Neodiprion lecontei: one gene and its partner. The protein of the gene in region 2 purifies or fractionates together with the protein of the main gene of each other region. This does not show direct contact. Links are inferred from orthologs where the notes say so. Each region holds a gene or a part of one and is shown on either strand. Other genes may lie near its edges. The genes, in order: protein 60A and activin receptor type-1.

The links.
Region 1: the proteins of activin receptor type-1 (region 2) and protein 60A purify together in Drosophila melanogaster (affinity purification with western blotting, with the first as the bait; 3 studies listed by BioGRID). This does not show direct contact. The link is inferred for Neodiprion lecontei from reciprocal best matches to the Drosophila melanogaster genes sax and gbb.

The regions. Positions count from the first base shown.
Region 1 is NC_060261.1:30,142,818-30,148,081, reverse strand, and holds the start of protein 60A, read right to left. Parts: upstream 3,093-5,264; 5' UTR 2,542-3,092; coding exon 2,121-2,541; intron 1-2,120. UniProt on the Drosophila melanogaster protein: Required for the growth of imaginal tissues and for patterning of the adult wing.
Region 2 is NC_060262.1:35,382,918-35,390,083, forward strand, and holds activin receptor type-1, read right to left. Parts: upstream 5,450-7,166; 5' UTR 5,374-5,449; coding exon 5,313-5,373; intron 5,296-5,312; exon of another isoform or gene 5,229-5,295; intron 4,970-5,228; coding exon 4,785-4,969; intron 4,049-4,784; coding exon 3,799-4,048; intron 3,684-3,798; coding exon 3,421-3,683; intron 3,249-3,420; coding exon 2,602-3,248; intron 2,511-2,601; coding exon 2,276-2,510; intron 2,195-2,275; coding exon 2,057-2,194; 3' UTR 1,546-2,056; coding exon of another isoform or gene 1,520-1,545; 3' UTR 697-1,519; downstream 1-696. Other genes in the region: uncharacterized protein LOC107224729, read left to right, coding at 15-470.

The DNA of each region.
Region 1 (5,264 bases), on a different chromosome or scaffold from region 2:
GTGCAGCGTATAACGCGAGGATTGTTTTAAGATGCTCCGGCAGCATTTTCCCGTTAATCTTGGTAGCCTGTTTCTCTTCTTTTTTTCTCTCCTTTTCCTCTCTCCGTTCGTCTTTCTCACAAGACAAGATGAGTCAATATAATCTAAATTCTAAGTAGGACAGCGGGAGGGACCGCAGGGGACCGAGGGCCGTACAGGGCCCAGGTAAGAAACCTCCCTCGAGGCCCCATCGACCCTCACCCTCCTCGGAATTGTTCGATGCCGCATGTTAAAAACAAGCGTTTCAACTCCCCCGTCTTTGCCGTCATTTACAAAATATTCGGACCACCCGGCCGGGACGACTCGATTACTGAAAGTTATATCGCTGCTCATTGTCTCAGAAATCTATTATTAGTAGGAGGCACGAGAGCGGTGAAAAAACAAGAGGAGTTACAAAAAGTAAGAAACGATGCGTAATAAACTGTCCGATATATTTACAAGCTACGATCAACTCGACGTCAGACTTCCAGTTCATGTTGCATAATTCATTGGGAAATTATTGTCAATGCATCGAGTATAGGTATAAGGCACAAGATTGCATGGTGATTATTTTTCAGGACCTACTTTCGAGGCACCTACGGTGTTAGATGAAATACTATTATTATTCCGCTGCTGCTGATAGTGGTCAGAATTCCCTTCCGGCGTTATTCTACGCTCAGGTATAACAAATTGTAACAAACACGTGAATACGTCGAATTAAACCGTTTCTAAGATTGCTGTTATACCAAACGTGAGAAATACTTTTGACTCGTCACTATTTTATCGTTTGAAAATTTTCATGCCTAGCTCATGATAGGGAACGTGACTACGTGCAGTGTGCGTGTAAAGTATAATGGTGAAAAATATCCTGTTAATCTATATTAAATGAACTATATATTTCTATAACATTTTACTTTCTGTCTTCATTGATTTCTGGAAGATATCGAATTTCTCAATGCGTACAAATCATAGGGCAGAAATTTTGCAAACAAGATTCAAAAGCTTTTTACTGATTTCGAGGAGAAACGATGTTTCAGCGCATCACGCGGAATGTCAATTATAAATTCTTACTCGGTGACGCGAAAAGAGACAGAAAGAGAGAGAGAGAGAGAGACAGATAGGAATGTGAAGACGGAGAGAAAAAAAAATTGACAAACATGGCCATCACGCGCTGACATTTTTTAAACGTAGGTACTGGACGACGATCTTTCCCATCATTCTCGTCTCGCCAGATTATCATAAATTGGTGAATACTTCTTTTCGCATGGAATGAAGTTTACAGAAAAATCTGAACATTAAGTAGAAATCTGTTTATTAAATATTGCCGAGAGTCGAACAAGGCAGCCGGAGAGTTTGGTGTTAAAAATATGCAAATTCGTATTTCTCGCTAACGAAATGTCACAGGAGTGTTATGTATGATGTACGTCCATGATTGCGTATTTATCAGGGCCGTGAGCATCTGCATGATTTAAATACACTTACTCGACGTGTACGGCGTAACCTAATGAACACGTCAAATTAACGGGGCTGTCGAACAATTTCGAAACGAAGAAACGCTACTTTTTATGTCTACAATATTGTTAAACTATCTCAAAAATCCCATAGGAACAAACTAGTTAGTTTAATGTTGTTATATTCGAATTTGGTCAATCATGTATTCAAGTTCAACGATGTTTCGACTGACAGGAAATTAATGTAACTTAGACCGTGTTCAAATCACTCAATGACCAGACCCATCATCATGTGCAATCTGCGTTGTAACGATTCTGAAGTAACGCAACTTTCTTCTATATATAATAATTTTCCCAGTTTTTGTTTTTCTCGCGTTGATTTTCGATTGTTGAAACATCCCCTAATATACGTAAAACACTTTCAGTATTCCGATTTTAATATCGGGTGCAATTGACTGACTAATCAAATCGACAAATCGTTGAAACTGATTGTAGGAAAACACAGAAACGCGGCGGGAAATACAAGTAATTTTGAATTTAAAATTAAACAAGGGCTTTGACGCGAATTGATTGACAAAAAAAAAAAAAAAATTTCCTTCCTGCCAAATTTTGCCGCTGTTCCTGTTTTTTTTTTTTTTTTCTTATACTCACTGTGCGCAGCAAAGCTCATTATAACATCGCTCTGGTCAATTGCTCTGAGGTCTTGTCCGCTGAGATCAAAGTGCCCGCGGTCTCCTTCGGGTTTTACGGTAGACGACAAGTCCTGATCCTCCCCCTCGCCGAGGGTGTTCCTGTATATGTCGAGGAGAAACTTGGGCGCCGATCGTTTCACCTGTGGCGGATGTCCACCGAGTCCTCTGGGCCGATCGGGTAGCCCCAAGAGGTTCAATATCTCGTGTTCAACTTCCTGTCTTTCGCGCTGCGTAACTACCCGATGTATAACCGTCTGGTCGAGACCATTGTCGACGTAAAGTCCGCTCAGACGTCCCTCCGAGTCGCCGATTTCGGTGAAGAACAACAACAACAACGACGAGTACAACGCGACGATTGACAATTTACCAAAACGGAGCATCTTCGATCTCGTATGAAGAAACAAGGTCGACTCCCTCGGCAGAGTTGCGCCCTGCGCCGGAATTTGAATTTCTCCCGCCAATTGTCACACCGCTAATCAGTATTATCACTCGATATTTTTCTCTCTCTTCTCTTATGCACTGCGGGAAACGTGCCGTTGATGTTTATGTTTATCTTTATCCGGTCCGTTTTACTGTCGTTTTATCCCCGTTGATTCGCTTTGTTTCTCAATGATTTTTCGCCTTTCGCTTTTATCGAACTTGTTATACTATAAACAATTTTTCCAACTCTCACTTGCACGTATTTATTTACTTAATTTCACGCGTCTCTTTTTCCCGTACAGAGCGAAAGCAGTGGTGCAGCGTTTCCTCGTTCGTTCGTTCACCATTTAATTCCTCGTGATCACTCCGCAGGCAATGCTAGTGCCAGTCTGCTTGTCTGGCCCGATCGCCAACCTGCCTCTCCGTATAACTTCTCGCAAGGCCTCAGGCTCAGGGACGGAATAAGAGGAGGGGTTCCCCCTACGCCTAATGCTCAATGGCGTTGCAGCTACCCTGGAACCCGACTTCGGTCTCAAGCGAACGAAAATGAATCACAGAAACTGACGAAAAAGACAAAAGACGTGTTGAATTTTTCAAATATTGAACGTGTTTGTCATTCGTTGACATTCGCAATCAGGTCGGTTTTTATAGGACCATTTTTCTTCAGTATCCGACGCTGGAAGACCAAGATTTAACTAATTTTTGACACCCGAGGTGCTTGCACGTTGATCATGTCCTTTCAAATCACGCCAAATTATGCTTCTGGAAGCTTTCTGATTTTTCCTGAACGCAGATTCCGGTTCGCTCAGAGTTAATTATTACGCGTGTATATTCAAATATCATATTCTCCGAAATGTAGAATACTAATCAAATTTGATTATAGCTGAAACACGCGCGCTTCTGAAACACCATTTTTATGTCTTGACGCTACATTTTGGACATCGGTGTTTTTCCTCTCCTTTTTTTTAGCATAGTTCAGACCTGCTTCCTAATCTACTTTTACACCGCTCATCTTAAAGTTCAAATTTTCGTACGCTTATATTTCCGCATAAATTTGAACGGTTTCTATCTGGGTTTCTGTTTACTGTTTCATTATGAATAACGTTTAGCGCAAATCAGAGCAATTAGAGCTAAAAAGAGAGCTTTAAGATTATTTTGAACATGTTTCTGGTTGCATATTTACGCGTGTTTTGTTGTTGATGTTGTTGTTGTTGTTGTTATTGGTGTAGGACCGTTTCTCGAAGAGCAGGACGGAGAGCGAAAGATAGAGAGAGTAATGTTTGGGTGAAAGTATTTATTGCGGTACGGGATATGCCGGGGTTCGATCAAAAATTCAAGACATCGTGCAGAATGGCACAAAAACGGCGGTTATAATTGAAGCCATCAAATGGCACTGATCAGTTATAAAGCTGACAACTTCTTCGAATTCCATCTCGTAACTTGTTTATACCAGAAGTACAGTAGCGTATGCCGTAATAGCGGAAATGTAGTGAAATATAATATTCTTTTCATGAAGAACGCATACAAATGCAATTTTTCAAATATTTGATGCTGAATTGGGACAATATATAGATAATTGATGTTTATTCAGTCTCTTATGAATCATCGTGTAAAAATTGATATGTATTTTTTACCAGAACGGTAGATCTAAAGAAGGCTGCTACCACCGATCGTTGAATGAAGAACATTTTTACTGACGGGGACAACTAATTAGACTGATGTAGCCAAAGTGTGTGTATGTGAAAAAAGCGGACTCGATAAAATACATAAGTAACGTTTCATTATTAATTATGAAATGATTTATTGAGTCATCATTTAAATCGTTGGAAAACTTGCTATGGGGTCTAAAACCGTGATTGCTTTGGATTACTGAACCGTTCTAATGATCGCCGGAAGCGGCAAATTGAATGTAAATCGCGAAAATATTGATTTGAACGATATTACGAGAAACGCGGGCTGTACTAGCTGTCGTCGGTGTTCAAACACCGTGATAACATTGTAAAAAACAATAATTGTACGGCCCTGTCGAGTCGACACCGACGTGGATGCTAGGTAATACGGGATGAGAAGATTCTCCTGCCGAAGAGGAGGCTCGCGGAGGAGAGAGAGAAAGAGCGAGAGGAGAGGGGCAGGAGGATGAGAACGGAGAAAAGAGAGGCGCGGAGAGGCAGGTAGGGAGGCACGAGGTAAAGCAGGGAGCACCGTCTGTTCACGTGTAAGAAATAACTAATAAGATAAACAAGTATGTACGTATATACATACGTACCTACGCACTTATACACGTAAGTATGCACGAGAGCTGGAGAAAAGCCCGCGGGCAAATTCCCGACTACGAGTATTACATACGTATGGAATTCCATGTCGCGTATATGCATGCGTGTATTCGGCATATTTGAACGAACGTTTCGTACATATGCGAGAAATCGACGTAACTGCTCTGCAAGGTGCTGCACGTTCGCCTTGCCTTGGGGTGATCGTTATTAAATCTTGATTAACGATACTCGGAGTCACCGATTTTCCTCAGCGGCAGCGCGCCTGCTTGCGCGCAAAAACGGTGCCGCAAAGTCTGCGCCAACCAACAATTCCCAACTCGCATGTCTCTTGTAATAAATTTCTCGCTCTTCGAACGGCCGCACCAGACTGCTTGCCTCTGCCGCAGCCCGACAACGGCGACGATGCACGT
Region 2 (7,166 bases):
TTGCATTTTTACAGAACAAGGCATTGGACTTACTTAGATCCAGGCAGGAGAGTCAAGCTGCGAAGAAGCACAGAAAGATTTTAAACAGCATAGATGACAGAACTAAGTTTCATTGTTGTAGTAGTAAAATGCACAACAGGCGCAATCGTAAGACAAAGAAAGTGGCTTCGTCAGGATTTTCTCATGCCTTAATAGCCACTGAAATGAGAAAATGCCTAATGAGACATGACTGGGCTCATATAACCGAACTCTTACCACTCTTGTTAAGAGGGCATTCAGAAACAGAGCCACTCATGTGGAGGTATCTGATTATACAAATATTGTACGGTACCAAAGGTAATTTGGCAATGCTTAATCATTTCCTCGAAATGTCTGTGCGTACCCAAAGTTCAGATTTTCTAAATGTGGTATTAGCACTTCCCGCTCAAATAAAAGAAACTGACTCCATGTCAATTGAGTTTGACAGTTAACGCTATAAACTTGAATCATTTAGAACAATTAGGTATTACAAGAATATGAGAATAACATATCATGCCATATAAGTGTTTTCCGGTATCTGAATTAGAAGTAATTGTTTGTGGAAAATAACGCTTTACCACGTCAAAAAATTACGGAATTAGCGCAATTAAATGAATGCCTCATATTTTGACATGTGTTGTTGATGAAAATGGGAAATTCGCTAATTATTCGATTACACATTATATACTTGTATATTACTTATTTTCGTACATTTTTTTATGATAAACATAATAAAAGTTAATATTAATACAAAGATACTATTTACAACGACTCTCAATAGATCATCGACGTTTCCAATAATATAAACTATGTAAGTGATGCGCACAACAATAGGGCATTATGTACACGTGTTGTAGCAATAAAAATATAAAAACAACCACAAGGTAACATATAAAATACAGTTAAAGACTGTCCGAAAAACGTTCGGACTGCCTTTCATTGATTACCTACGTGAAATCAATTTGTACATACAAAGAGTACCTACAAAATGCGTTTGTATTGACGAATTCAAATTCAGGTACAAGCTATGGCAATTTTACAGAATAACTATATTGAACAGCAACTGAATGATGTTCGAAAAATTCGTTCTTCATCGTGCAAGTTTATTATTGACTTCCAAGTAGCTGTGAAAACTCAGGGTGGTCACACAATTTGAATTTGGAAATTCTGTTTCCCTGACCGAAATTACGCTTTTCCTCTGACTTCTTGCTTGGGTTTATCGCATTTGGAAACACTTTTCCTGTATTTTCGAAAATGTTTGAAGTAAATATTTACTTCATTAATAGAACGTCAAAGTTTTGGTCTGCAGCATACATGTTGTATGCGTATCATCATTCTGATCTATACAGATAAATCATAATAATTGATCAAGTGCAGGAATTCAAAAGATAAACCAAAAACTCGAGCGCATATAGCAGACAAGAAAATTGACAATCTTCCAATTTAAATCATCAATAATATTTGAAAAAACAAAATCCTCTAATATATCCCATTTTTCCAGGTTTTCCAGATGAGTGGCCACCCTGAAATTGATTACGCACAGCAGACCCAGTGACATTTGAAGAAACAGGTCATTCTCAGCAGACATCTATCTCACAACTAGTTTCATTCATACTGTTTTCTTAGCTGGAACCAAGGTATAGCTCTGGTTGGAAACCTTAAGCTTGTCTTTCGCAACTACGTACAGTTAAAAAATTCTTCCATAACGTTGCAGCAGCTTGTAACTGATTTATAGACATGATTTATACATTATTACATCACAAACTTAAGATTCTAATTGATGCTATTTCTGAGTAGCTGTACTGATAGTTTTAACTGCGGTTCAATGATGTAATGTGAAATAAAATTCATGAGATAGTACTAGAAGACTTGCAAGCATCGCCTTAATATGTGGACAGACGATATTTTCTATACTCTCAGAGGTAATGACACAAAGTTTCATACTGGTTGAAAAAATTTGACATGAATAAAATGATGATTTGATGAAATTATAGTAATAATAAATACGTGTGTGAGAACTGGTAGGTGAAGTTACCAGTCAGTCTAGGGGCAAATGAACATGAGGGTCATTTGATGCCAGCTTCACAAGCGTTTTCTTCACTCTGAGTACCGGGAGACGTGCAGCAGGTTTCCCATGCCAACACTCGCGAATCAATTTTCCCATTCCAGCGAGAGTCTAAGAAACAACATGAATGTAGTAAATTGATTTTGTTTTTCTATTGCAGTCAATAAAAATACATTATATAAACAAACTTACAGGATCTGAGTGCCATCGGTTTGGAAGAGGTGGTCTTCGCTGATTCAGCGACACCAATTTTCGCATTTCTTCAAAAGAGGGTTCTTGGTTGCTACCCGAAAGCCACTCAGAATAAGGAGCAGCATAATCCAAAGCCACACCACTACTCACGCATCTCCGACTTACCTCCCACATAACCAGTGCTAAACTGTAAATATCTGCACGACGAAAACTCTCTAAACACTCTATGTTTATTCTGTAATCAGAAATTTAATAGTATCTTGTTAGATTTGAGTTAAGATAAAAGTTAAGATGTAAAAACTCAACAAACATAACATTGTGCATACGTTTGATCGAGGACTTCTGGACTCATGTACCGCTTGGTACCTTGACGAAGATCAACTCGATCCATGGTGAGACGTTCCTGAGTTACAGCAAGTGCGAAATCTGATATTGCGCAGGCACCATTTGCTTTGACAAGTATATTTTTGGTTTTCAAGTCGCGGTGCGACATTGCTGGTTTTCCTCGGGTTCCATTAATTTCAGTGTGTAAATAAAGTAGTCCGTTTGCCACACTCAGGCAGATGTTCAGCGTTTGGTGGTGTGTCAGGGGATGGGGCGAACGATTTAAATGATTATAAAGAGAGCCAAGTGGATGGTAGTGTGTCACTAGCCACAATTGAGTGCAGCTTCCTCTGCTTGTCATATCGGTGCCGACATATCCGAGAATATTGTCGTGACGTGATGGTAAAAGTCTAGAATATACCTCCGTTTCACGAGTCCATGCGGCTTCATCTCTTGAGAAGTATATTTTTACAGCTACGCACTCCCCGTGCCAGACACCACGCCATACTTCGCCACCAAATCCGCCACCTCCACCACTTCCACTTCCCAAGCATTCAACTAATGCTACCTGTTTTGCTAGTGTACGTTGAACAAGTAATGGTAATCCTGATCCTGAACCGCTAGTCAGACTCCGTCCATCCAGATATTCCTGTTTAGTAGATAAACAAATCACAATGATTATACCAATAAGTATGCACTTGCCAATGATTTCACTAATTTGCAAGTAATTTTACGTATTTGCAAATATACTGCAGTACTCAGGCCAAACGTGATGTCATCGAAATATCACATCTGGCCTGCTAATGATTACAATTTGATACCTTGAGGGTGCTATCACCAGCAGCAGTTGCTCTGAGCTCATGCGTATGATAGGTGGAAGTTGTGGAGGGAGATGAGGAAAAATGAAGTGAGGAAGGCTCTAGTTCTGAGTCAACTAGAAGTTTGTTTCGTCGAGGGACCAATGGGCGCTTGCGACGTGTCCTACGAATGAGTATACAAGCGAGTATGCCGCTTCCGACTACTCCAAGTCCAACCATCGGACCCAGGATTGCCAGAGTCAGTTTTAGTGCATAATCTTCCACTCCTGTAAAGGAAAAACTATTGTTATAGCTAAACCATCAAATTTTCATGAACTTCAGTATGAATGAAACGTCAATAATTTATATTTATTTTTCTTCTATCTTTCAACTTCTATTCACCGTTCGATTGCTCCGGGGAATAGTGCGAGGGCAGGTCAGGAAAAGGTCCGTTATTACATAAATCACCCTGGCAGCATACAACGCTGAATTGTCCACCTCTAGTTGAACTGCTTGCTTGTCTCTTTTTTCCACTACCATTTCCAACTGGTTGTTGTTTGCTACATATCAGCGGCATCTGTTCAGGTTTTATGGTACACCCTCTACTCAGTTGCTGTGTCCCATCTGCTTCCTGCACTTTGGACTTCCAGCACTGATGGGGAAGAAAATTAAATTGGTATTACACTACCACTTTTGTGTGTTAAGGCTCAGATGATCACTTAACAAATCAGCCATATGTTTCTTCCAATTTATACACATGATGAACGATAATCTTTTATTGTAAAAATACTGTATGGTTTCATCACTGTACGAAGTTTCACTTCAATTGACACTATTTTAAATTTAATGTATGATTTATCCGCATCAGATCTGATTGTACGAAAAATATAAATGCAATTTGAATTTATAAGATGATATAGGAAAATTGCACTGAAGACAAAGCAAGAACTCTGAACTTTGAAAAGCTTCTACTACTTTATTAAATTTGCTTTCAGTTCCAGCTGTGCGTTGAAAAATTGCATTTCAAACGGTATTCATATTGACATAAATCAAAAATGGAGTGAGCGCTGAAGCTATCTTTATTGAACTAATAGATATTGTCTTCCTAAAACTGAGTAGACCAGTTACTTGTTGGAAAAATAAATATTTTAATGACATGAATGATAACAAGCAGCGCAGGTATTATTTTTACTCAATAGTCAACTTGAATCCATTTATGTAATGAAAAGTTATGTGGTTGATTCTGTCTTATTGGTACAAAACTGAAATTGAGAGAGAAGAAAACTGGATCTAGCTGATTAATAACAAATAAATGAATGATTTAATAAAACTAGTGCAAGTGATAAATGATATGTAGAAAAATCTCTCTGGAAAGGTTTTGAACCTACTGTGATTGCATCGTTGCAGGTTTCTTCAGACGAACAATCTGGAGGATCACAAGAGAGGCACTTGTAACGTTTTTGGGTTGAAATACCGCCCGTAATCTGACGATCTATCGGTTCAAGAGGATCAGGTGGTTCTTCATTGTCCATGGAAACGTCAACCTCCCTCAATCCTATACTTTGTTTTTCTCCTGTTAAATCCAAAACGACATGAAATAATTTGATACACACTGACATAGGGATGCAAAATTATGCACGCCAAGTTCGTACTCGGAAAATCATAATTGTTTTAAAATTTCGTGAAAACAGCCGTTGAATCTCTTACGGCACTGTTCGTATTTCTTCCGTTAACACATGAACTACCCCTTTTTTGAGCGAGATGTAAAAGAAGAAATTTAGTCATTTCGTTGCCGTTTGTGGCACTGATAAGGGCTATTAATATTGCGTTACTCAGCTGATGCTCGTATCCTTAAAAAATTTTCTTCGGTAAACACAAAGTAGAATAATCCTGTATGCGTGCATTAAGGCTCGTACCTGGACATAATTTGAACGTCAACAAAAGCACAAAATGCGTGATAAATATAACATCCGCCATGTCTGTGCGCGTCAAAACAATAAACTACTTGTCTCAGATCACGGTCTTACATACAGGTCTTGCAACGAACTGAAATTTGAGTGGTGGGGATAGCCGCGTTTTGTCCAAATTTTTTTGCCACTACTGACCACTACGCAGCGCTGTCAGTTATTCATAGGACATATGACTGACATTACCAACGTAAGGTTATCTGTGTACAAGTATCAAAAAGATTGGTTAGGGTTCCGCCAAAGAATAATAATAAGCTTATGAATAACTCGTAGCGTCGCTCTTGTGGCCATAAGTTGTACTTTTGTTTCGGACGTGAACTGACTACCCCCCACCACGTTCGTTGCAAGACCTGTATGTAAGACCGTGACTCAGATACTACCAAAAAATATCGAGTTCCACTCATTGTCGCGTTGACTGAAGATATATAAAGACTGCTAGCCTCATAGGACTTCTCGTAATCGAAAATGGACAAGATAAATTCATTATCAAGCGCCCTCTGCGTCCTTCCCTGCACGCGCAACTCAATTCGGCAAGAGTATTGTTTGTGAAAAAAATTTGAGTTAGTTATTATTTTACAAAAGACGTAGCTATATCATGATTTATTCTGTTTTCAATAATAATCTGATGCGGTTATCGATGAAGTAATGGTAGGTTCATGCGGAATGAATGCCGGTGGTTTCACCTCCGTGAAGTTGGCCCCCCGAAGTTGTTATTTTTAAATCTAATTAATGCAATTCGTTTGAGAATCGTTTGAGAGGGTTTGAGAGTACAGAAAAATCGTTTGAGAGTTAGTAGGTTTTCCGGAAAATTGATTTTAATTTTGGGTGTGAAGTTGGCCCCCATATTTTCTATCTCCTCAAAAAATGGACTTAGACGTTTAATTTTTCTTTTTCATCGTTTGAGAATCGTTTGAGAGGATTTGAGAGTAGAAAAAAACTGTTAGAGAGTTAATATTTTAATTGATATTAAATAATTATTCAATTTGCGATTTCCCCTAGGATTAGAGCACTTCCGGTGTGCGCATTGTGTGTGCGCACTGCATATGCGCAACATGTCTGCGCAGTGCGTCTGAAATCAGCTGTAGCGACCGAGATTGACGAAGAAATACGAGTTTCGAGGATGCGAATTATCGTAAATCGAACGGGTACGAGATGGACATGGAGACGAAGCTGAGCAATTTTCTCTCAATGACACCAATGGTAAGAGAAGAATTGGATGAAACTATTGGAAAAATACACGAGCGTCTAAAACGGGAAACTTGACGAAATCTTTTTAACGCAGTGCAACAGAAAGTGAAATCTTTTATAGAACGCCAAAATTGATATTTACTTGCAGATAAGGAATAATGCACTCATAATTGGAAGAAACGTAGAATGTCGATGGGCTTATAATATACCTATTTATTACTTGAACAATTATTGATATGAAAACATAATCCATGTTGAAGTATCACCAGGGTGTGTAACAAAAAAAAATACGTTTCGAATTACAGATGAGAGATATGTTAATTATAAGCTATTCAAAAAATGGAAAATAAAAGATGGATAGGTGATTATTAATCAATGAATAAAATTACGGAGAACATTGCATTATATTGCTTCATATATTGTATTACTGAGGTTATAAACAGTAACTGACAGTTCTTAAGTTCTTCTCGTTACTCCGTTTGATGGCTACAAGGCTTTCTACATTCAAGTGCCATACGGTTGTCATTTTAAACCCAACACAGTTGCAGGCTTACCAACACGAAATAAATTTTTGTCATTAAAGTACTGTGTGTAGCTGACAGAGAGAAACCTAAT